Alligator mississippiensis: one gene and its partners. The protein of the gene in region 1 purifies or fractionates together with the protein of each later gene. This does not show direct contact. Links are inferred from orthologs where the notes say so. Each region holds a gene or a part of one and is shown in the gene's direction. Other genes may lie near its edges. The genes, in order: PAGR1, NCOA6 and PAXIP1.

Region 1 (7,510 bases):
CGCCGACCGGTGAGCGGGTGCCGGGTGGGGGAGGCGGGGTGGGGCACCTGACCTCTGACCTCTGCCCACCGCAGGCTGGTGGTGCGCGGCGGCGTGGCGGCCCAGGCCCCTGTGCTCTTCGACTCGGACGTGGACGACGTGCCCGAGCGCGGGCTGCAGAGCGACGGCCCCCACCTCCAGCTCAGCCTGGTGTCCGATGGCGCCCGCGCCCCCCCGCTGCTGGCGCTGCGCTACGAGGGTGAGTCCCCGCAACCCCCGTGCGGAGCAGGGCCTGGGGCACCACCGTGCCGCTGACCCCCGCCACCCCGCAGCCTTCTCCGCCGACCGGTGCTACGAGCCCTTCCTGCCCCACGGCAACTTCAGCAGCACCGACCCCAGCTTCGGGCCCGGCGCCCTCGTCACCTTCGCCTGCGCCCCCGGCTACGCCCTGGCACCCGGCCCCCGCACCATCCAGTGCCAGGGGGCGCCGCCTCGCTGGAACGGCTCCGAGCCCCTTTGCAAAGGTACGGCCCCGTGCTCCTTGTGCCCAGCCCCCACGCTGCCCCTCCCTCCCAACCCGCTGCCCCCTGGCGGCGCTGCCCTCACGGGCCGTGTGCCGCCAGCGCTGTGCGGGGGGGAGCTGTCGGAGCCGGCCGGCGTGGTGCTCTCCCCCGACTGGCCGCAGAGTTACGGGCCGGGCCAGGACTGTGTCTGGACCATCCACGTGCAGGAGGAGAAGCGGGTGCTGCTGGACATGGAGATGTAGGTGCCACAACCCTGCCAGGGACCCCTCCCTTGCTCCCCCCCCCCCCCCGCTCCCCTGCAAGGGGGCATCTGACCCCCCCCCCACTATTTTCTGGAATTCCACCAAGAAAACAGGATCCCCCTTGCCCCTTTCCCATCCCGCCCCCCCCCGTTCTTTGGGGACCACCCTAAAAAACTGGGCCCCCCCCTCCCCCCAAGTGATGGCCCCTGACTGCCTTGTTCCCCAGCCCCTCCCTTGGGATCCCACCACTACCACCAGTTTCTGGCTGGGATCCGACCCTGGGTGTGGGGGGCCACAGGGTCTAGCCCCCCTCGCTCACCAGTGTCTGTTTCTTCTCTCCCTTTGTGTTTCCCCCCCACCCCTCCCGGCAGCCTGAACCTGCGGGGGCGGGACACGCTGACGGTGCTGGACGGGGCTGGGCTGGCGGGGCGGGTGCTGGGACAGTTCCTGGGCTCCCGGCCCCGCTTCCAGCTCACGTCGTCCGGGGCCGCGGCCACTGTGCAGCTGCAGGCCGACCCCACCGGGCCCCCGCCGAGCCCCAGCCAGGGTTTCCTGCTGCGCTACGCCGGTACAGCTCGGGGGGCGGGGGGCCGGGGGCGCCTGGCGTGCCGCGGGCCCTTGACCCATCTCCCTCCTGCGCAGAGGTGGACCGCAACGACACATGCCCCGAGCTGCCGGCCGTGCCAGGAGGCTGGCGCTCGGCCTCGCATGGCGCCCTGATCCGCGGCACCGTGCTCACCTTCCAGTGCCAGCCCGGCTACGCTCTGGTGGGCGCCGACGTGCTCACCTGCCAGTGGGACCTGGCCTGGAGCGGCCCCCCCCCCGCCTGCCGCCGCGGTAAGCCGGGTTGGGGGGGATGGTGTGGGGGGTGCAGGCAGGGGGGGCCCTGCCCTGCCCTGCCCTGACCCGTGCCCCCCCGGCGCAGTGGTGAACTGCGTGGACCCCGGCGAGGTGGCACACGGGAGGCGCAGTGCCTCGGACGGGCGCTTCCCGCTGGGCGCGCAGGTGCGGTTCCGCTGCAACGATGGGTACGCGCTGGAGGGCGCTGCCACGCTGACCTGCCACGCGCGCGACACCGGCGCGCCCAAGTGGAGCGACCGTGTCCCCAAGTGTGTCTGTGAGTGCAAGGGGTGGGGTGGGGGGCGGTCACGGGACAGGGGGCGGGGACCCGGTGCTGAGCGCCCGCCCCCCGCAGTGCAGTACGAGCCCTGCCTCAACCCGGGTGTGCCGGCGCACGGCTACCAGACGCTCTATAAGCACCACTACCAGGCGGGCGAGTCGCTGCGCTTCTTCTGCTACGAGGGCTACGAGCTGCTCGGACACGTCACCATCACCTGCCTGCCCGGGCGGCCCAGTGCCTGGACCGGGCCCCCGCCGCGCTGCAAGGGTATGACCCCCCACCCCTCCCCCACTGCCTGGCCTTCCCCCTCACTGCAAGGACAGCGTCCGTCCCCCCCAGACCCCACAAGCCCAAACCAGCGGCCAGAACCCCCAGCCCCCCCAGGATCTCCACAGCCCCTGGTGCTGCCCCCCACTCCCAACCTGCACCCCCCAGTGCCCTTCACCCCTGTCTCTCCCTCAGTGGCCTACGAGGAGCTGCTGGATGAGCGCAAGCTGGAAGGTGAGCGGGGCGGGGCGGGGCAGGGCAGGGCAGGGGGCGGGGAGCTGCAGGGGGTCCAGGAGCAGCCTAAGAGGCTCCCGGTCTCTGATTGGCAGTCACCCAGACGACAGACCCCTCCCGCCACATGGGGGGCGGGGGCCTGGCACTCGCTGTCTTCCTGCCCGTGGCCCTCGTCCTGCTGCTCCTTGGCGCCATCTACGTCTACTACACCAGGTACAGGCTGGGCGGGGCTGGGGCATGGTGCAGGGGGCGGGGCTTTCAGGCCACTGGGTGGGACCTAGGGCTTGGGGGCAGGGCTTGGGGGGTTCTTAAAGGGGTACCCAGATTCCACCTCTATGAGCTGGGTCTTAAAGGGAGGTGCGTAGGGAGGTGAGCATTAAAGGGGGGATTTCCTGGTGAGGGGGTGTTTCTTAAAGGGATGCTGTCTTGTCCTTGAAGGTGGTTAAATGGAGAACCCAGGCTGTTCCTTCTTAAAGGGACGGCATCCCTGCCTGCAGCAGGGTGGGGAATGGGCGAGGGGCTGGAAGGGGGGTGGGGTAAGCCCCGCCCCTCCCCTCCCCTCCCCCACCCATCTCATGGCCCCCCCCAGGTTCCAGGGCAAGTCGCTGTTTGGGTTCTCGTTTTCCAGCTCGCACAGCTACAGCCCCATCACCGTCGAGTCTGACTTCAACAACCCGCTCTACGAGGCTGGCGTGAGTGTGCCCCCCACCCCTGGATGCCTGGGCTCCCCCAGCCCCCCGAGAGGGGGTGGGGGGCTGGGGCTCCCGACTGATGGGGGTTTTCCTGCCCCACAGGACACCAGGGAGTACGAAGTCTCCATCTGAAGGCGCCGGGTGGGGGTGGGGGGGGCCATGAGGCCCCTCCTGCTCCCCTCCCCCAAAACACAGGCCGGGGCTGGGCCAGGACTGGACCCAGGATGCCATGGCCCCATTTCCACAAGGGGGGGGTCCGCCACCTGGCTCCCGAGCCATCCCAGCATGCCTTGCGGCCCCCCCAGCCCCACCCTGTAAATACCCAGGATTCCATGTGCCAAGGCTCACGCACCCCGTTCCCCCCCCAGCTTCATTACCGTCATGACCAAGGTCCTCACTCCTCCCCACCGCCCGGTTAATTTATATCAAGCGTCCTATTTATTTCTGTATTTATTAATTTATTTGTGGCAGGTTGAGGAACGGGGCCCCCCAGCAGTTAGTTCACTGTCCCCTTTAAGGGCCTAAAACAAGGGCAGGAGGGAAATTGTGTTAGAGCATGCCCCTTTAAGGGGGGTTAAAAAAAATGCTTCCAGGCTATAAAAATCATGCAGGAGGATGTTTATTCCGAGTCCTCGAAGAGCATAGGCTTTTGGGAAGGGAATCCCTTTAAGGAATTTTAAATAAAAATGGGAGGGGATTTACTCCCCAGAGCATCCCTTTAAGGTCCATTGCTTGGCTTGAGTGCAAGGGGGGGCTTTTAGTTTGGAACATCCCTTTAAGATTTAAAGCAACAGATGGGGGAGGGATGGCTCTAAGTAATCTGGGGGATACTAAAGCAGGCCTTTAAGGGCTTGGTAAGGGGAACTGTGGTGAAGGGAGGAGCCCTCATCCCTTTAAGATCACAGCTATTCCTTTAAGAGTGCCATTACCTTTAAGAAATGGAGTGTAGGAGGGCAAATATTCCTGTGCCATTCTTCGGACGGATACCCCCAGAAGGGGGAAAGGGGGGGAGAGGTGTCCCACAGGCCCCGCCTCCCCGGGGGGGTGTCCTAGCCCCACTTCCGGCCCGTTGGAGCAATAACAATAAACGAGGGAATCGCCTTTGTACAAGCCCACGGCTCCGCCTCTGCCTGGGGGAGAGGGCGGAGCCTAAGGAGGCACCGCCCCTCCGGGTCATGAAGGGAAGCCCCGCCCAACACTCCAGCACCACTCTGGGCTCCGCCCCTTTGCCCCTTCCCCCAGTAGGCCACGCCCCTGCTAGGGCCTGCCCCTTAGACCCTCCCCACTAGGCGCCGCCTTCGACAACGTACCGTTAGGCCCCGCCCCCTTTGCCCCTCCCCCCTAGACCCCGCCTCTTAGCTCCATCCGCTTTAGACCTGCGAGGCCCCACCCTCGTTGCTCCCTGCCCAGTTGGGGTGGCCACGCCTAAGCCCCACCCCTTTATGCACGCACCAAGCTCCGCCCCCATTTACCATGCCCCTTGCCTTCGCCTTGTAGCCCCGCCCCTCCAGCACAACGAACGGGGGGGGCCTGCCGTCGGGCGCATGCGCAGTGAAAAGCTGCGGACATGGTTATGCGTATGCGTGCTGGTTCATGGAGCGGGAAGGGGGGAGGAAATTGACAAAGTGCGCATGCGTAGCTCCATCCCAGGAGGGAGGTGATATGCAAGGGCTGTGGCTGCGCAGTGGAAGCGAGGCGCCGGCGCGTACGTTCTTCAAAGAGCTGTTGCGGCAAAGCAGAGCGCACGCGCTCTGGAAACGGGACGAAGGCTTCTGCGCATGCGCCTCGGGGCCGCCGGTGCCAGAGGGGCTTCAGGGCTCGCCTTGTCGCGCATGCGCACTGATGAGCCACGGCCGCGCTCTAGTGGCGAGCGCATGCGCAGCCTAGTGATCCGAGCGGGAACGCATGCGCAGAGGCGCCGGGACGGCTGGAGGGGGCAAAAGGCGTCAAAATGGCGACCAGTCAGCCTGGGGCCTAGGCCTGATTGCGATTCCGATTCCTTCTGCTCTGCCTTCGCCTGCTGCAGCCTGAGCACGGACCTGGAGCTGCCCCCGGGGTCAGTCAGGCTGGGGCCCAGCTGGCGGCTTGTGCACATCTCCAGGACAGCCGCCATGTTGGCGTGACCCACTGCGCTCAATGCCAGACCTGGCCTAGCCCTGCAAGATGGCTGCTGCCATGGCATGACCTGCTGCGGGCAGTGCCCAGCCTGGCCTATCTCCCCAAGACAGCCACTGCTTTGGCATGACAGCCGGGGTCACCGCTGGCCCTTGCGTGCCCGCGTGACATGGCTGCCGTGTGGCCTGGCTCATCTTTGCTGACCGCCCAGCCTGGTCTAGGTCCCCAAGGTGGCCGCCGTGTCGGCGTGACCTCTTTTGGGTCACTGCCCGGGCTGCCTCAAGGTGGCGCAACCTGCCATCGTGTTCCAAGATGGCTGCCCCGTTGACCTGAAGCCCCCCTCCCCCTGCAGGCAGCCATGGAGTCCGTGGTGACGGAGGAAGAAGGGGAAGTGACCTCGGGGATGCAGCTGCTGGCCGTGGAGGATCCTGCAGGCCCCGAGGAGGTGCCGGCCGGGGCAGAGGAGGAGCCGCAGGGGCAGGAGGAAGACACGGCGGCAGGCGGGGAGGAAGACTGGTGCGTGGGCTGCAGTGACGAGGAGGTGGAGGCCCCCGAGGCCTGGATGCCACCACCTACTGAGATCCGGCGCCTGTACGAGCTCATCGCGGCGCAGGGCAGCCTGGAGCTGCAGGCCGAGAGCCTGCCCCGCCGCGCCCCCACGCCCGAGCCCGACAGCGAGGAGGACGAGCGCTCAGATGGGCCCCCGGCCAGTGAGGAAGAGGAGGAGGAGAAGTGAGCACTTGGCCTGAGTGAAGGGATGCGGGTCGGGAGCGAGGGGCACCGCTGGAGGCCAAGGGGCTTTGGGGGGCTGAAGGGCAGGGCTGAGGGGTCCCATGGGGCTCTGGGGGTTCCCCCATTCCTGCCACCCCTCCAGTGACAACCTCTCTGCCCCCAGGCCCCACATCCCGACTGAGTTTGACTTTGACGACGAGCCTGCCTCACCCAAGAGCACCCTCATCGACCGTCGCAGAGCACCAGGTAAGCCCATGGGGGGACCCTGGCAGCCAGGCCTGGCAGGGGCAGGGGTGTGCAGGCGACCCTAGGGCTGACACATGCACTTGCCGCAGGCGCAGGGTCACGCAGCCAGAAGCGGGAGGCGCGGCTGGATAAGGTGCTGTCAGACATGCAGCGCCACAAGCAGCTGGAGGAGCAGATCCTGCGCACCGGGCGCGACCTCTTCCAGCTGGACAGCGGTGATGAGCCCATGCCCAAGCGCCCGTCTGGACTCTTCCTGCGCCAGCGCAAGTACTGACCCCTTTGCAGGGCCCTGCCGCTGCAGGAACCTCAAAGGCCGGGTGTGATAAAGTGACAGGTGAGAGGAGCAATGAACACCTGGCCCAGCCAATGGTAGCAGGGACCAACGGCTGGGGGGATGAAGTGGGACCAGCTCCTGGAGTGACGGACAGCTGGCCCAGCTCATGGGAGCCCGAGGAGAGGTTGGGGCGGGGGTTGAAGTTGCTTGATTATGGTACAGGGGCCACTCCCATCCTGGCTAAGAGCCTGGCTATGAGCCTGACCACCCAGGGAAGCCCCAATAAAGTGTCTGCTGCCCCCTCCCATTGCCTGGATGCTCATCCCTACTCACAGCTTGGGGGGGGGTGTCTAATGCAGCCAGGAGGTTATTTAATCCAGGCACCTCCCCATTTTGGAAGAAGACATTACATTTCCTCTCCCCAAACACTCGCCCTCCCCTTTACAAATTAAAACAAATATTTTTATGTTTCTGGGCCACTTAAATAAAATCTCTTTAAGAGCCAATGACTAAAAAGCAGGAGAATGATGATTCTAATCCCCTTTCTCTTAAATTTGCCCATCCCCTTCTCCAGCTGGAGGCATGCCTGCCGCTTTAAACTCCTTACAGGGATTTTTCCCAGGTTCTTAAAGGGATGATTCTAGAATAAAAGCCTATTTGGTTAGAAGCAGCTCTTAAAGGTGCAGCTCCCTAAAAGGAAGGAGAAATTGGGGCAGCGGCAGTAACAAAACATGCTTTATTTGGAAATGTACAAAAAGGGGGTGGAGAGAGGATAGAACCAACAAGGGGAAGGGGTGGGGCCTGGCCAAACCCCGCCCCATCACTCGCTGTCGTCCTCGTCGCTGCTGATGATGCCGCGGAGCTGGGACCAGTCGGGGCGGGTGCGGGGGGGGCTGGGCGCTGGCGGGGTGCTGGGCGCCGCGTACAAGCTCCATACATTGCGGCGGCGTGGGCGGCCTGCGCAGGGAGGGCAGAGGTCAGAGCACCGGGGAACCCAGGCATCCAGCCCCCACCCCCTGCTCAGTCGCTGTACGCACCGTGGGAGGGAATGATGTTGCCCAAGTCCAGCGCGGCCACCTCAGCCT
Region 2 (7,952 bases), on another chromosome or scaffold:
TAGTAGGAGATGGTGTTGTAATGGGTAAATGTTTGCTTTATAAGAAAGTTCTTCCATACTTCAGCCAAGTGCTTTTGAAAGTTATAAGCTAGAAAAAAAAAGAGAATCCTGGCAAGGAAGGACAATTTTCAGAAGGGTCAGCCATATTTAATGGTCCTTCAGAAAAGAAAGTAAGTCTGTATATGGAACAGATGAGATGGTTTCAATAGTTCTCCAACAATAAGATGGCCAAAGAAGAGCCATCCAGTGTTCACAGCTTGTGAAAAGGAGATGATCCTCTCAAGGGTGAACCTACTTTGGAGGGAAAAAGTTCCTGAAGGCAATAGCTTATTGAGGGCAGTAGTTCTTCAAGTTAACTTGAAGAAAATATTGAACTAGCGACAATCCCTCAGCACAGCATACACCTCCCCTAAGAAGGGATCACATTCCCCCAGCTAAAAGAAAACTGTAGAAGGACAATCACTATATGTGTAATTTAAACCTTACCTACCATTCTGGTATCCAAACTCTTGTTCTCTCCTTCCTTACCACATTCCTTCTTTTATCCTAGAAAAAAGTATGAGAGGATTATAAGGAAAGATCATTAAAATCTCAACAAAATATGTCTTCCCCATTTCCTTCCCCACATATGATAAAGTGAACATGTAGAGATTCTAGATTAGGAATCACTTAGTTCATTTTAAGAGGGGCAGGGAGAAATTAAGTTCTGATAATGGAATCCTTATATAATATTTAATTTTGGAAAATCTAAAATTGGTCATGTGTATGAGCATAAAAGTACCACATTTGCTATATAGCATCATTTTTATTTGGAAATACAGACATAAGAAAATGCATTGTAATCATAACTGTGACTGTCTTGAAATCAATTGTAGCTGTGCATTTTTTCACATAAAGTGAAAAAGACTGAAATACAGTTTTCTTTTTTCTATTACCAGCTTGTGAGGTACCAGTTTCATTCTTTACAGTATTTTTTTTTTTGACAGACTCCATTGTCTTGTTAAACATTATTCATATTACAGTAGTTTCTAGAAGTCCAAAACAAGACCAGAACCTAGTTGTACCTGAGCTGTAGGTACAGGCTGTATGAGACAATTCCTGTCTTAAAGACTTTATATTTAAGCACATTTTATACTTAAGCACACTTTATAAAATGGGCCTTCAAGGAAGCCTCCGACCCAAACACCCCCAGTTCAGATGAAATTTAAATTCTCATTTTGTTGCTCAATTAAACCAAACAAGTTTGTTGGAAAGGTTAATGTATGTGCATTTCTCAGCCTCTCATAACTTTTATATCTGTTGTACACTTGTTTTCATTGTACAAAAAGTTGATCAGCAGAAAATACCTTACTGAAGAGAGTGTTCTTAATTTTTTTCAAAAACATGTTTATTCTTTTCTTATAAATAGGTGAAAAAACCTTTTCTAGGACTATTCCTGATTTCCCCTTCCCACACAAGCTACATATTACTGGAGATGTTCTGAAAAGTGTTGAGTCTGAATGTGATCTCATGTACACCTTGGGTGAAGCAGAAGAAACTTCACTGAAAGCATTGATCCAAACTGCTCAGTGAAGGAGCTTTAGGCCATTTTTGCATTTCTTTGTATTTAGCATCCATTTGACTCAAATTGGAACACTGAAATTCTGCTATTGGAGGAAAGAACAGCAACATCCACTTGCTGCTTTTGCTGAGGTAATCCTCATTTGATAGGTTTACAGACATAAACGAGCTGTTTGTACTTTACCATGTTAAATATAGCTGGTCCAGGACAAGCGGTTCTATTTGTCCACACCAACCTTGTTGAACTATTTTGAGGAGCCTTTCACTGCGGTCTCACAAGCATTAGTGCTACGTGTGCATCTGTCCACAATACCCAAGCCACTGTAGAGGTGGCCTGTCTGGGCACATTTAGGCCAGGAACAGAGGGTTGTCATGCGTGAAGTGACTGAAGGTCCCTTTTCTGCTCTTCACAATATTTCTTCCCTCCATTACACTATACTAGAATATGTCTTTTAGTCTCCTACAATGCTGCGGATTCCAGCTCTATATGACAGCTGGTGCTGCTGAACCACATTTGGTTCACTGGCTGCAAATATTGATCTCAACCCTTCTCCCTGCTACCCGCCAGGTCATCAGACAGATACTGGCAGCCAGAGATAATACTTGATTTGCCAACTGGAGATGCCCTCTAAAAGTCCTCCAGTATTAGAGATTTCCTAATTGTATCAGCCTTTTCAACTCTGATGTCCCTTCAGTTGTAAGTACTGGTGAGTACCTCCCTTCTCAACATGTCACAAATTGGAGCTTATCATTCCACCTACCATCAGACACAGAGCTGACTTGTCTATATATGGAAGGCTTTCAGACCCTCTCATGAAGTTAAAGCACCCACATGATTAAAGCAAATGTATCTAGTAAGGTCCTGCTAAGTATCATTCCTTTGGTTAAGATCTCCAGCTGAAATATAAGGTATACTTATAAGCCTTTGTGCTGATCAAAACAAATGTTGAGCTTCAAAAAGATTTCAACTAAGACACAAGGATGACAGAACACAGTAGAAAACACAGAGAAGGCAGTATTTTTAGAGTTATTCTGATATAAGGCATTTAATTTCTAAACCACTGTTGTGGGGGACAGCCTTCCAAGGTGGGATGACTTTATGGGCTAGGTGGCGTAAGTCAGGCTTTTAGGGGTTAGAATGTGAAGAGAAAGGGATGTAAGTGCATTGATTGGGAAGTGGTAGGGGCAGCATGGAAGAAGGCATAATAATAGGTGTGGTAGAAGAATTATCCTCAGACCCTAATACATGTTGTTTAAATTTCAGTTTTGCCGGATTTTCACAGTATTTAATTCAATTAATATTTAAACTATCTGGACAGGTAGGAAATGAAATAAACTAGAGCACAGGGAACTGCATTTCTTACAAAAAAGATTTCACGCAAACAAGTGCTCACTGGTTCAAAAATTAAAGAGGACTAAAGCTCTCCTCCTTGTCTCAGTGTGTAAGTGACACTCTACCTCACTTCTGCTGAGATGTCAGAGGGACTGTGCATGGAAAGTAGCAGTGAAGAGAAGGCTTTCTTCATTCTTCAACAGGCTTAAAGGCAAAGGCTTGCACTTAAAATGATCATCATCCTAGAGGACGAGGAAGAAAGAAACAGGAACTAAAGGCATAACTGAATATATACAAACTCCAATGAAAGGCACCAAGACTGCAGTTCCATGAAGAACATACCTAAAGAAAGGGTGTTGATTTAGTCTATAAATATATCTTTGAGTTTTGGTTGTCTAATAGTCGAATAATCTCCATACATACCCTATGTGAAATCATTCCTTCTAAAATTTCCTAGTCTAAACTGTTGGGATCACATGGCAGCAGTTTTGTAATTGGAGTTGGGACTTAGGCTCTAGCTATCTATGTACAAAGGCCTTCCCTAAAAAGGATTTTACATACAGTATATGTATATAGCAATTTAATTAAAGTTGACATTGGTTGATAAGTGGTGTATTTTTTTCACATCTATATACAAATGATCAGACTGTCTGGTAATTATTAGATTTATTTGTTATTTACTTTGTGCAGTAAGTTGCAGAAAGCCAGTTTCACTGCTTTCCTAGACCTGTTATCTAAGATTTACCCTGCTGAACTTTGTTCCAGAAGACTGGCCACATAAAGCATCCTTGAAGTTAGGAAGGTTATTTATGTGACTAGACCTAAGCTTGTGCATGTTTGCAGGGCTGAGGCCTTTGTTTTTTTCCAAATACAATATTTAGAACTTTGATTATTTCAGTAGTCTTAATGTATAACTACAATATATTTATTTTCACTACCACCACGGAAAGATGGCCTTGTGATTAAAGGACTGGCAAACAGAAGACTGAACTGCTGTTCCCAGTGCCACAGATTTCCTGTGTTACCTTAGCATTGCTCGTTTTAACAACTTTATAGGACCAGCATGTAAAATCCTATGGCTGCTCATCTTTTAAGCCATTTTCAGGTGGACTTCCATGCTATTTCAGACAGGTGCAATAACCTGCCTGCACAAAACATCTTGTAAGACTGGAGCCTTACTAATTAACTGTGCGTATGTGCACAGTTAAAACCCCTCCACTCCACTATGTCTGACTGCCTCAGGTTACCCTGCTGTAAGACAGAGATGTGATAAAGGAATAATTTACTGATATTTATAAAGCAGATTGAGACTCTAGCTTTGAAAGTGCTGTAGGTATCAAGCTGTGCCACCTACTATTTTTCTACAAAGGCCCCATTTTCCTTCTACAGCTTTATCCAGGCAGTGACTTTGGATTGCAGAGCTGGATAGAAATAGCAACACAAATCACCAGAAGCTAGGCAAGCTTCAGCGGTCTGGATTGGGGGTGTAGAGCGACTGGTCCAAAGGTGGGGGAACAGTTTAGCCTGTGGTGTCACAGAGACACACCAGTCATGGATTAATAAGACGTTGTGCTGGGGGCCACGAAGGTTCAGCAGCCGTGGGGCATGACTCGAGCCTGGTTCCTGGGCGCAAGGCCTCGGGTTTCACTGCAGGTGCGCTGGGGGGCAGGAGGACTTCAGCCCCTGAGCTTCCCCGCCTGACAAGGGAGGGTGCGTGCGCGGGGTCGCTGTTCTCGAGCTCCACGCTGGAAGGCCGGGGATGTGCGCGGGGCCGTACGAGGCCGGTGGCGGGGAGCCGCCCGCACAGTCGGGGCGCCGCGCGCGGCAGGCCGGCAGGCCCGTCCCCGGGGCCGCGGGCGGGGCGGGGCGGGGCTCGGGCGAGCGGCCTCCCCGGGCGCGCTGGGCGGCAGGCGCGGCGGTGGCGTGTCCCGGCCCGTCACGTGGTGCCGAGGGCGGAGCCGCGGCGGCTGCGGGCGCGTCCTGGGCGCTGGGCAGGCACCGAACCGACCCCGGCCCGGCGCGGCCCGGCGGAGCGGGGCCCAACACGGGCCTCGGCTCGCGGCAGCCGCGCGGAGCGGGCCCGCGGCGGCGCCCCAAGGTCAGGGCAGGGCAGGGCAGGGCAGGGCAGGGCGGGGAGGGGCTGAGCCGGGCCGGGCCGGGCCGGGCCGGGCCTGAGGTCAGAGGCCGGGCCGGGCCCCTCCGTGCAGCCCGTCAGGCCGGGCCGGGGCGGCTGTGACAGGGAAGCGGAAGCGGGGCGGCGGGTGTGAGGGAGCGGCCTGGCGGTGCGGGCCGGGCCCGCGGGGCGGGGCGGGGCGGGTCTGGCCCCCCCGGCCGCAGCACAAAGCAGGGCCCCGGCGCGGGCGGAGCCGCGTTGTCCGCAGGCCCCGCGCTGTCACGGTCCGGCCGAGCCGCCGGCTCCTGTTGTCTGGAGCCGGCCTGGTCGCAGCGAGCCCGCCCCCCGCGCGGCTCCTCCCCCGGCCGGCTCGGCTCGGCTCCGCTCGGCCGCGGCCCCATGCAGCGCTGCCGCGCACTGCGGCCGCCAGTGCTCGGGCTGGGCCGGCTACGCCCGCCCCGGACCCCTGCCCTTGAGCTGCGCTGACCCCGCCGCTCGGTCCGCGCGCCAGGCCCCCGCCTGCCCCGGCCCGTCCTGTCCTGTCCTGCACTGCACGGCAGGCCCGAGCCCGCGGAGGGGAAGCAGCGGCCTGATCCGGAAAGGGCTAACGAAGGCCGAGGTTTTACTTTGGGGGTGGGGGTGAGTGGGGGGACAGGTTGGCTTCCTCCCAAAGCCGCGGGGACATCAGTGCAGTATCAGCATGGAGACTTGCTTGTCTAGTGCAGGGCTTTTTATTCTGCCTGGGCCCCTGTTGGGTTTGTTTCCCCTGTTTCTCAACCTTGAACAAGTGCAGGCAAAACTGGCCCCTACATTCAGTCAGTGACTTATATTTGAATCCTCCACAGCCCCTTTGGAAAGGAGCCAGGTAACAAACCCTTTCTAGCCTTCTGGGGGAAGTTCCCTTTAGTTGACAGTAGAGCCATCTGGGATGGTTGTGCTTGAGCTGAGTTGGGTATCGGACTTCTCCACTGGCTCTCCAGAGGCAGGCTTTGAGAGCGAGCTAAGATATGTACAAGAATTTTGGTGGGAATCAAGCAGAGATGACATTTAATTTTAGTCTTCTGCTTTGTTTCTCTTTAAATCCCCCCCAACGTGCACCACTTTAATTAGGTTGCAAATACTTGTCAATATCTGTCTCATGCCTACTCACTTGCCCACACGTGCAGTATGAGAGAGTGAGTGCACGCAAGCATTGAGCCTCAGATTCACTTAATCAGATGCTGACACCTGTTATATTTACAGTTATAGCAAGTGTAGTCTTTCTTATACCTACAAGGTTAAAATAAAATATTTTGTCTTTACATTTCAGTTACACTGATATGTATATACAACCTAATTGAAGTGGTGCATTTTGGGGGGGATTTAAATAGAGACAAAGCAGAGGAGTAACATTAAATGTCATCTTTGCTTAATTTGATTCTGTGCATGCACTCACTGAATTTAGAGGCTCCATGCAGAGTTGTGTACATCAAGACCTTTAGAAAATTGGACAATAGATGTGTCCAGTCACGCACCCAAAGTTAGTGGTCACTTTTGAACTGTGTGTGTGTGTGGGGGGGGGGGGGGGAGGGTGTCTCTTTGCCTTCTAATTTACCACCCTATTCATTGGATCACAATTCTTCATTTAAAACTTAGCTTAGACTATCTTGGCTTTATCATGTGTCAGGTATCTGCCTGCCCAGAGGAATTTTCCATTTATTGACTCCTCTGTGAAATCCTGTGAAATAAGAACTTTTGTTTCTACCCAGGAGAACTTTTACAATCTTTTCTCCAATGCCTGATGAAGGGTGTTTGTGCCCAAAAGCTTGCAATTTAAAGAATTTTTTTTGCAAGATCTTGTTGGTCTAATAAAAGATGTTATCTCTACTACAAGCCCTGATTGCTTTTGGCTTTATCATGACATTTTGTGTGGTGGTACTGGGCTCCTAATTCTCATTATAAAGGCCCCTCACCCTAACTGGCTCCTGTTTGTAGACCTGCTGTTTTTCTGAAGTATGTTTGTCACTTCTCCAGGTGATACAGTTACGAAATCCCTCCCTACCTTAGGTTTCAATTCTTCTTTTTAATATAGATGTCCACAAACTGGAGTTCCTGTGGTCAACACTATCCGTAAAAGCCTGTCTCTAGATCTTAAATGAAGAAGTTGCTTGTTAAGGAGCTTGCTGTTAAGGCAGTTTCATGTTAAGTGCAATGAAATATTTTAGCCTAGAAATACTGTGCATCTAGTAAACTCCCTTGAAATTTTGGAAATCCAGGCTTTGTAAACTTTGTAACTTTGTAAACTGTTTAAACTTTTAATAGCTTAAACACTAGAGAGTATGGACCTGCAGAGATACATTTCAGTGAATACCCTTAACACTACTTTGTATGAGGTCTGTAAGATAATTATGACCACAGCCCCATATAACTCGGCTATGGGTGTTTAAATATTTTAAATCCAGTAAATGTTATCAGTTCATTTCTATAGACTTTTTAAAGTCTATATTAGTGGTTATCTTAACATCTAATGTATTTCAATTAGTGGCTTGAATCCAGCTAAGTTGCATAGGTATTTTGCTTTACAGTGTCTGCAGTGGCAGATAACTTTATTCTTGAGGATGTCAAAGGGTTAAAGCATCTGTATAGCACTGTCACTTGATTGTAGGAGGATATTTTACAGGTCATTAATTTATCTCCGAGATGCTGTGGACAAGATGCTGTCATCTTTCATACTTCTGTGATTTAAAGGCAAATTTATGATTGTGGAGACAACGCTCTTTGTGAATAGGTATCAATGTTCATAAATAGAACTTGGGACAACAACACAATACTGAAATGTTTCTTGTCCCATTATATTGTGGGCAAACATAAGGTTGTTTAATAACAGCTGGTTGGGGAGGGGAAAGGAAGTTGGAGATACACTTATAAAATACTAGACTATTGTAAGCCTGAGGCTGTGGTACAGAA
Region 3 (8,074 bases), on another chromosome or scaffold:
CTTAGAACTTTTATCCAACGCACCTAATGAAAACAGTAGCAACCAGATTCTGCTTCCCATAATTTATGCTAAGCAGTACTTTAGTTGCACATAGTTTCCTTCAGTGAAACTACTCGGAGTGAAGTGATTTTGAAGTAATAATATGCCAGGGTACCAAAAACTAGCTTATAATAATTAACTGTCATAATACCGCTGTGAATTGGAAATTACTATCCACATATTATAGATAAGGAACCTGAGGTCCCAATTCAGTCATTTTTACATGTTTTAATTTTAAACATACTCATCATGTTTCATTGAAGCCAAAAGGAGTTGAGCAAGATTTCAGTGCTTTGCTGAATCGAGGCCTGCAGGTCACGCAGTACAGTGTCTGCTGCCTGTTAGAATCAAACTGGACATCGCACGTTTGATCCTAACAACTTGCAATTCCAGTAAGTGGTGAGCCATCAAAGTAAAAAGTGGTGGAGTACTATTAAAAAAACTCTGTAGAGCTTTGCTATTTTGTTGTATTTCCTTTTTTATTACTGTAAACTTTAAGTAAACGTAAAATCTGGCTGTATAGCAAAAACATGGTGGGCAGCGTGAGCCAAAGTGGACTCAATTTGAATAGCCAGCACAGAAAAAAAGAGCCAGGATGCGTAAATTGTTGAGATTCTAATAGAAATCCAAATCTGTAAAGCAAGACGCTAGTGAGTGGTGGGAAATGCATGTAGCACAATATCTTTGGCTTTTGATTTTGGGGTTTTGCTGGGGCACCTGCATCAGTTTTACATTAAACAGTCATTGGATAAAAAACAGAAATACTCCTAGGAACAGAAATTAAAATCTAAGACTTTCCCTTCCTAGGTAAGTATCTTAACTACTCAGACCTTTTTTATGCTGGGGAGAGGCCCCATGACACTTTCATTTCTTGTTAAACATTTAGACATTTCATTTCTGTTAAAGCTGCCCAGTGGGCCAGCTTTAACAGGTTGGGAGGTGAATCCTGGGAGATGAGAAAAATGGGTTTGAAACCTGGTGGGATGAGGAAAGCCTAGAATCCAGATCTCTCACTTCCTAGGCCAGTGCTTCCCAACCTTTCCCTTAGCATGACCCCATGTAAACACTGGAAAATTTTCACAACCCCAAAATGATGCAGACAAGATCAACGTGCCCTCTCACCGTGGATGGCATGGCTGGAGTGGAGCCCATGGGGGTGGGGGGAAAGGATGTGGGCTGCCTGCTGCAGGTTCAGGGCTCCCTGCCCTGATGCCCTCCCCTCAGGGGCCTCCATGGCCCAGCTGGTGGAACCCGGCACAGGAAGGCAGAGGGTGGGGAGGCCAGTGACACTGCCGGGAGCCCCACACCAGTTGCACTGCCACGGCAAGGTGCCCCTGCATTCCCAGCAGCAGCAGTGTGGAGTTGTGCTGGGTTGGCAGGGGGTGCCTCTCCATGGCAGCTTATCCAGTGTGGGGCTCCTGGTAGTGGCACTGAGCCTCCCTGCCCTGCTTTGCCCTCCTGTGTTGGATCTTACCTGCTGGGCCGTGGAGACCCTGGGAGAGGGCAGCATGGTGGGGAGCCTTGAGCCTGCAGCAGGAAGCCTGCTGTGCAGGCCGGGTCAGACCCCAGGCCCTTTTCGTCGCTCTGCACGCGGGCTGTGGCTGGCAGCCCGGGCAGGCCGGGTCGGAGAGGGCGGGCGCCAAGTTAGAATTAGGCACAGACACGTAACGGTTGATTTTAAGATTGTTTACTTACACCGAGACGGTCGCGGTGCAGGCTGAGAACTTGCTTGAGTTGCGGTTACAACAGAAAACACGAACACACGTGGAGTTTGCTAGGCTCCACGCAGACAAAACACGAACAATCACGTGGAGGTTGCTAGGCTCCACGCAGACAAACTCCGGATGTCCAGGACAAGCGCGCATTAAACTCGTCGATACATCTTATAGTAGGCTCCGTTCGAAGACGGGAAGAGGTGGGCGGTGGATCAGGCCGCCAAACTCCTCTGGGCAACACACAGAGTTTCTGTTACCCTGCCGCACACACCCAGAGTCCCCACGAGATGGATGCGGAGTCCTCTTCGGTTTGGGTGGAAACTGCTCAAGCCTCTTATAAGGCTAGCAGGCCAATCGCTAGCTGCCACGTGTGAATAATTTAGCACTAGCCAATTGCGGGGCACAAATTTGCATACAACGAGCGGGAACTCTTTGCACCATGCATTTCTGTGTTGCAAAGAAAATGCACCCTGCAAAGACCGCTGCAAAGTGGCGGGAACTCTCTTCCTTGCACGCGGGTTCTCTGCGCAGCAGAACTCCACCGTGCAATGAAGCTGTAAACCCACGGGGATAATTCGAGTGCCGAAGCACACACAAAAAAAATCAGACCTTTGGGTCATGACACCTGCATCTGCCCCCACCCCATGCAAAAATCTGGGGGGCACATGCTCCTCCGGGAGCATGTGCAATAGCTGGGAGCCAGCCCCCCTGCTGCCCCCTGGACGAGCCGCCCATGACTCCATCCTGCTCTCCCAGTCAGGCCCCATATTCCAACCCCAGCCCTGGGTCCCATGCACCTGCCCAGCTGGGCAGTTTCCCCAGCCCCAGCTTCATCCTGCTCCCTCCCTTCCACCCCGTGGGGGACTCAATCTGCCCTCCCCTCCCATAGACTTACTTGGAAGGAGCTGCTCTCCACATTGCCTGGCTGCCCATGCATCTGTATGCATGCACATGCACGTGGCACCACTGCCTGATCGCTCTCCTCCGGCTCTCCCAGCCCCAAGCAGCCCTGGGCAGGCTGTACCTCTGCCAGCCTGCAAAGCGAGCCTGCCATTTCCCATTTCTTTCTGTGATTTTCATCATAATCAGTCAACAGTTTTGAGTGTCTTTGTGGCACTATTTTTTATCATTGTAACCTCAAATGGGTTGCAAGCCCAAGGTTGGGAACCGCAGTCCTAGGCAAATGCTGTCATCAGCAGGCAGTTACACAAAAGGTCATGAGTTGCATGTCTTTCTTTTCTCTAGCACCCCTTTGTGCCAGTTCTTTAAAAAGAAAGCAGTAAGTCCAACTCAGTTCGTTGAAAGAACAATTATGGGGTCCAGCCCTCAGGCGAGGATTTTCAGGATGCTGATCATGAGTATTGGGATTGTATCCAAATAGCAAAAGCCATAGCTGTCCATGCACTGATAGGTTCTTTGTTTTTGGCAGCTGAAGGCATTTGCATTGCATCTCTCAGCAAACCATCGTTTGTCCTCAATAATTATGGATCTACCAAATTCAGGGTGGCTGCCCGTCAATTTCCCAGGCAGAATATGGGGTCCAGAAGCTATTTTGTGGGCCACTCCGCACCTCTGCTTGGCTGAGGGCCTCACCCCTCCCTACTGATTGGCTGCAAGGGCCATCCATCATGCAGCCCAGCCCCTCATCACCAACTGGAGGAACAGGGTAGCAGCCCTCACAGCCATCTTGCCTGTAGCCCTTCAAGTGGCCAGCCCCCTACTGCCGCCTCCTCCCCAGGCTGCAGCACCCTGGGGACTGCTGGCTCCCTGTGGGCAGCCAGCATTTTATTTTAAGTAATTCTTTTTCTTCCCCATGGATTTCATGGGCAAAGCCAGAATTTGCAGAATCTGTGAAATCACGACTTCGACAGGTCCCCATTCATAACGCTTGCTCAGTGGCAGCTTATTACAACGCTGGTATTCACAGCTCGGACTTGGGTGCCTCGGCTCTGCGGACGCATCTCTCTGCTTGGCGTTTTCTACTGGCCAGCACCCTGCAACGCGCCACCTCGCTGCCCATACCAGGCACCGTAACCCCAGGCACCTGACTGGGGGCAAGACCCTTTGCAGCTAGATACGCAGGCATCTACATCTTCGGTTGGATCTGGCTCTCACCCCCGTGCTTTTACAATGTAGTTCCTCATACGAAGATCAGCGTTGGTATGATCTATTCTGGCCTGCCAGGAGCCGAGAGGCCCGTGGAGTAACACGGTTAAGGCACACTAATTCAGCAGCTAACGCCAGGGCTGACACGGGACCCCTTGGGGAGAGGGGTGCGGTCGGGGGTCCACTTCCCCCTGGTTTGCAGGGGACCGTCGGAAAGTGGGCCCAAGCTCCTGCCCACGTGCGTGGGATCCTGCCTGCAGAGTCACTGCCGCCGCTGGACCCTGCCGGCAACCGAGCCATCGCCAACCCCCGTCCTCGACGGACGTGGAACGTGCTCATCATCTCGGGAGCCTGGAGGGGTATCAGCAGCCATGCTCCTGGAGTGGCGTTTCTCAACCCGTGTGTCACCACCCGAAAGTGGGCCGCAAGAACCTAGGACGACATCGTGAACAAACTTAAAGGAGAGTCCATTTTTTTTAGGAGAAAAAAATGTGGCTTTTCTCTCTGAGCCCCAGCCTGCAAGGGGCTGCTGGGGGTCCCACACGCCCACCCCCTGCCCCACACACTGCGGCGGGGCGTGGGTCGGCAGTGCCGGGCGCTGGATGGGGACCGGCTATTGACATTGACTTTTTGTCGTTGTTTTTTTGTTTCCAAATTAGCCAAAAAAAGCAACCCGCACGTGCCGCGCCGGGGCCAGGGCCGGGGCCGCGGGAGGGTCCCGAACAACAAAGGTGGGGACGCGGCTCCGGCACGTGGCCGCGCGCTCCGCAAGGAGGCGCCTGAGATTGCGCGGGAAGGGGCGGGGCTGGGGGGCGAGGCCCGACCGACGCCCCGCCCCCTCCCCATGGGCGGGCCCAGAGCTGCCGCCGCCGAGCGGGGAGAGTCCATCTGGGCCACGGGGCGGGGGGGGGGTTGAGGGCTCAGCCGCCTCCCGGGCTGAGGAGGGACGGCGGAGCCCGGCGAGTGCAGCCGGGGGGTAGGGCCGAGGAGGAGGCCGGGGCTGCGGGGGTTGGACGCGTGGCGGCTGGTCCTGGCGGCAGCTCCCTCCCCCCCGCGGCCCGGCGGTGAATGGTTCGCTCCGCAGCGCGCGCCGGGCTCCCGCGGTCTGGGTGGGGGCGGGGCTGCGCGGGGAGGGGGAGGGGCCGGCAACGCAGCCCCGGGGCCGGGCCGGGGCCATGGCGGCGACGGCGGGCGAGGAGGAACTCCGTGTGCCCGAGGACATGTTCAAAGACGTCAAGTTCTTCGCGGTGGGAGACATCGACCCCCAGGTACCACCCCCCCACCCCGTCCAGGGGCCGCGTGGGCTCTTCCACCCCTCCCCCCCGCCCCAGTGACGGGCCCCTCCCCCACCCCTCTGGGCGGTGACGTCACGGCGCGGCCCGCCCCGCCCTGCCCCGCCCGCCCGGCCGTGCTGGGGGGCTGGAGCGGTTGTGTCCCCCCAGGGACCTGTCCCTCCCGGGAGCCGCAGTGCCCCGGCGCGCACCGGGCCCGGCCAGGAGCTGGGCCCAGCCAGGGCGGCCCCTTTCTGTCCCCGCGCCGCTCTCCTCCTTGGCGGCCAGAGTGAAGCCGGGCCTCGGGCTGGGGGTACCTGAGGCGGGCGGGCGGGCGGGCGGGACGTGTGGTGCCAGGCCCGGGCCGGCAGGAGGGTCTGCGAGCGCTTGTTGCTCGCTCCGGGGTTTCGGCCGCGTTCAACTTTCTTCCCGCTGTTTTCTTTCGCAGGTGTCCGGGGTTTCGCGGGCTCTTGAAGTTCGTGAGATTTCAGGCTGGTTTGTGACCACGAGAACAACAAATGCGTGGTCTGCCTGGCGGACAGGGTTTTTTTGGGTGAATCGGATCTCTTTTATGAGACCAACTTCAGTCGATACACCCTGTTAACCTTGTCTGCCTCTGTCCTTAGACCCGCATGGCTACTGCCTGCACCCTTGGGGGAGTTTTCCAGCTGTACCCCTATATAATTAACGCCAGGATAACGCTGCCCCGTGTAGACCCTGCCTTCGCAATGAGCGGGGGTTTCGTTTTTGTTTTCCTCTCCGCAGCTCGTGCTTCCAAACGTTTGGAAGCGCTGCGAGTCGTGTTGTAATAGGTTTTCTTGTACCGTGATGGGACGTGCAGATAGGAGTTAGGCAGGGGGTGACAGTCGTACTCGAAATTCACTCCCTGCCTTATATCAGTATTACATCTCAGAAAACTGCAGGGCGATGGCACAAGCGGCCCAGGGAAGTTTGAGCATCTCCTTCATTGGAGGTTTTCAGGAAGAGGCTGGATAAGTACTTGACGGGGATGGGTCGAGAATAGTGTCCCGTGGAGTTAGTTGTGCATTTAGCGGTCTCTGTTTAGCCACTTAGCGGGGCTTGTTGTTCCTAGTGGACCTAGGTCCGCCATCAGCATATGAGACAGGACTGCCATCATGCAGAGGAGTGGACTAGGCATCTGTGAAGGGACCTTTCAACTCTGTGGTCCTATGAGCTTTCCTGTGAAAGCAAGCCCTTAAACTTGAAGTTCAGAATTCATCAGAATTGCTATTTCCGTGTTGCAGCATGTGGAAATATTTCAGGACTTTTAATGCATAATTTCATTGTAAGTCATAGCTTATTATAAGTCTGTTTCTCTATTCCACCTACATATGTAAGCCTACGTATCCTACATGTAACATACCTACATGTTCCACTTATGGGCAAAAGCTGTCTAAGGCAGGAGCTGGCAACCTGTGTCCCCTGGGCCCGCAGGGTGATTGGGTCCAGCCTGTGAAGTTTTGATCTGGCCTGTGGTGGCACCAGGGGGTCTGTGGTGAATGGCTTGCCCGGGTGCATCCCCATTTTTTGCCCTGGGCCGTACATCCCCTCTAGTCTTCCCTGCCCCCTTGTCTTGCTCTATGCAACAGGCAGTGCTGCTGAATTTGCCCCTCCCCGTTGCTGTTAGGGACAGGAATCAGTGGCACTTGGCAGAGGTGGTGGCTCACGGTGGAGGTAGGAGCAGGTGTGAGGCTATTGCCAAGGGGGATCTATGGTGGCGATTGACAGGTTGTGACAGTGGCTTGGTTGCAAGCAGTGGCCTGGCACTCAACCCTGCCCTGATCAAGTGGAATTTGGATGGCCAGTTTTTCTTACATTCAACCCCTTTGCAGATTTAGCAATTTGTATAATAATAACCAATCTTTTTTCCTTTTTTGGCTTGTGCATGATTTTCTGTTCTGTTTTTATTTGAGTACCTGCCATGGTTGATTAAGGATTAAGGTTGATTAAGGATTTTGAAGTAGGGAAAGTTTTGCAATGCTATGAAATGTGGGAGACCTCTAGCAAAACTTTGAATCAGTGGCTCAGTGGGGAGGATTTAATTTTGGCTAGTTGGGTATTGCGAGTACTCTCTTCAGAGCAGATCCAGAGCGAGGCCTTATTTTACCTCTTCACTTTTTGCTGTGTTTGGGGAAATTGCTGATTTTAAGTGTGGTAATTTGTGAGTTTTCTGTTTACAGCAGTTTGTAGAATGTTCTTCTGGATCTATTTCATGGTGTCTAAAAAGTTAATCTTAATATAATCGTATTCTGGAGAGAATTTGATTGAAGAGTGGTAATTGTTAAACCTGTGGTGAAAGTCAGTAAGTGAGTCTAGGTATACTACCGCAGTGCCCAACCTTCTGGCCCTGCAGGCTGGGTGAGTGGTGCAGGACTCATTCATGTGGGGTCGGTCTGGCTGCCCGCTGCCCTGATCTAGCTGTGGGCCAGATCCTATGCAGGGTTGAGCCGGCCACATGCTGCCCTGATCTAGCTGCCTGCCCCTGTCTCTCAGTCTGGCCACATGCCTGACTTGGCACCTGCTGGCCTGCACAGTAGATCCAGCTGCCCGCAGGGCTGCTAATGTGGCAGTGAGAGAGTAGCAATTAATGTTGTCACTGTTCCCTTTCCCCAAATTTCTGGACTCTTGAGGAGCCCTGTGGGCCAGATGATACCATTCCAGGGATTGGGGTTGAGCACCCCTGCCTAGTACAAGAAAACCCCCCTTTGACCACACACTCTTGGTTGTCACCTACCATCCCACATTTGAACCTATAAGAACGATCATCAAACTACTATGAGGGCACCCTACAAACTGCTGTACTTGAAAAGAACCAGACCTTGAGAAAAATATTCCCAGTTCCCCTGGCTCTTCGTCTTCAAACAGCCCCTAACCTTGCCTAATGCAATGTTGGAAGTAAACTCCCTGATGCTCAGCAGGCAT

Evidence for each region.
Region 2: the proteins of PAGR1 (region 1) and NCOA6 purify together in Homo sapiens (affinity purification with mass spectrometry; 3 studies listed by BioGRID and IntAct, with this or other methods). This does not show direct contact. The link is inferred for Alligator mississippiensis from reciprocal best matches to the Homo sapiens genes PAGR1 and NCOA6.
Region 3: the proteins of PAGR1 (region 1) and PAXIP1 purify together in Homo sapiens (affinity purification with mass spectrometry; 6 studies listed by BioGRID and IntAct, with this or other methods). This does not show direct contact. The link is inferred for Alligator mississippiensis from reciprocal best matches to the Homo sapiens genes PAGR1 and PAXIP1.

The regions. Positions count from the first base shown.
Region 1 is NC_081830.1:293,267-300,776, forward strand, and holds PAGR1 (PAXIP1-associated glutamate-rich protein 1), read left to right. Parts: upstream 1-4,602; 5' UTR 4,603-4,763; intron 4,764-4,771; exon of another isoform or gene 4,772-5,114; intron 5,115-5,525; 5' UTR 5,526-5,531; coding exon 5,532-5,905; intron 5,906-6,068; coding exon 6,069-6,151; intron 6,152-6,240; coding exon 6,241-6,425; 3' UTR 6,426-6,931; downstream 6,932-7,510. Other genes in the region: SEZ6L2 (seizure 6-like protein 2), read left to right, coding at 1-9, 75-238, 312-503, 603-741, 1,117-1,313, 1,388-1,582, 1,671-1,862, 1,941-2,132 and 4 more; HIRIP3 (HIRA-interacting protein 3), read right to left, coding at 7,246-7,382, 7,463-7,510. UniProt on the Homo sapiens protein: Its association with the histone methyltransferase MLL2/MLL3 complex is suggesting a role in epigenetic transcriptional activation. However, in association with PAXIP1/PTIP is proposed to function at least in part independently of the MLL2/MLL3 complex.
Region 2 is NC_081832.1:23,726,013-23,733,964, forward strand, and holds the start of NCOA6 (nuclear receptor coactivator 6), read left to right. Parts: upstream 1-4,882; 5' UTR 4,883-4,991; intron 4,992-7,952. UniProt on the Homo sapiens protein: Nuclear receptor coactivator that directly binds nuclear receptors and stimulates the transcriptional activities in a hormone-dependent fashion. Coactivates expression in an agonist- and AF2-dependent manner.
Region 3 is NC_081828.1:204,856,504-204,864,577, forward strand, and holds the start of PAXIP1 (PAX-interacting protein 1), read left to right. Parts: upstream 1-4,992; 5' UTR 4,993-5,035; coding exon 5,036-5,128; intron 5,129-5,500; exon of another isoform or gene 5,501-6,422; coding exon of another isoform or gene 6,423-6,437; intron 6,438-8,074.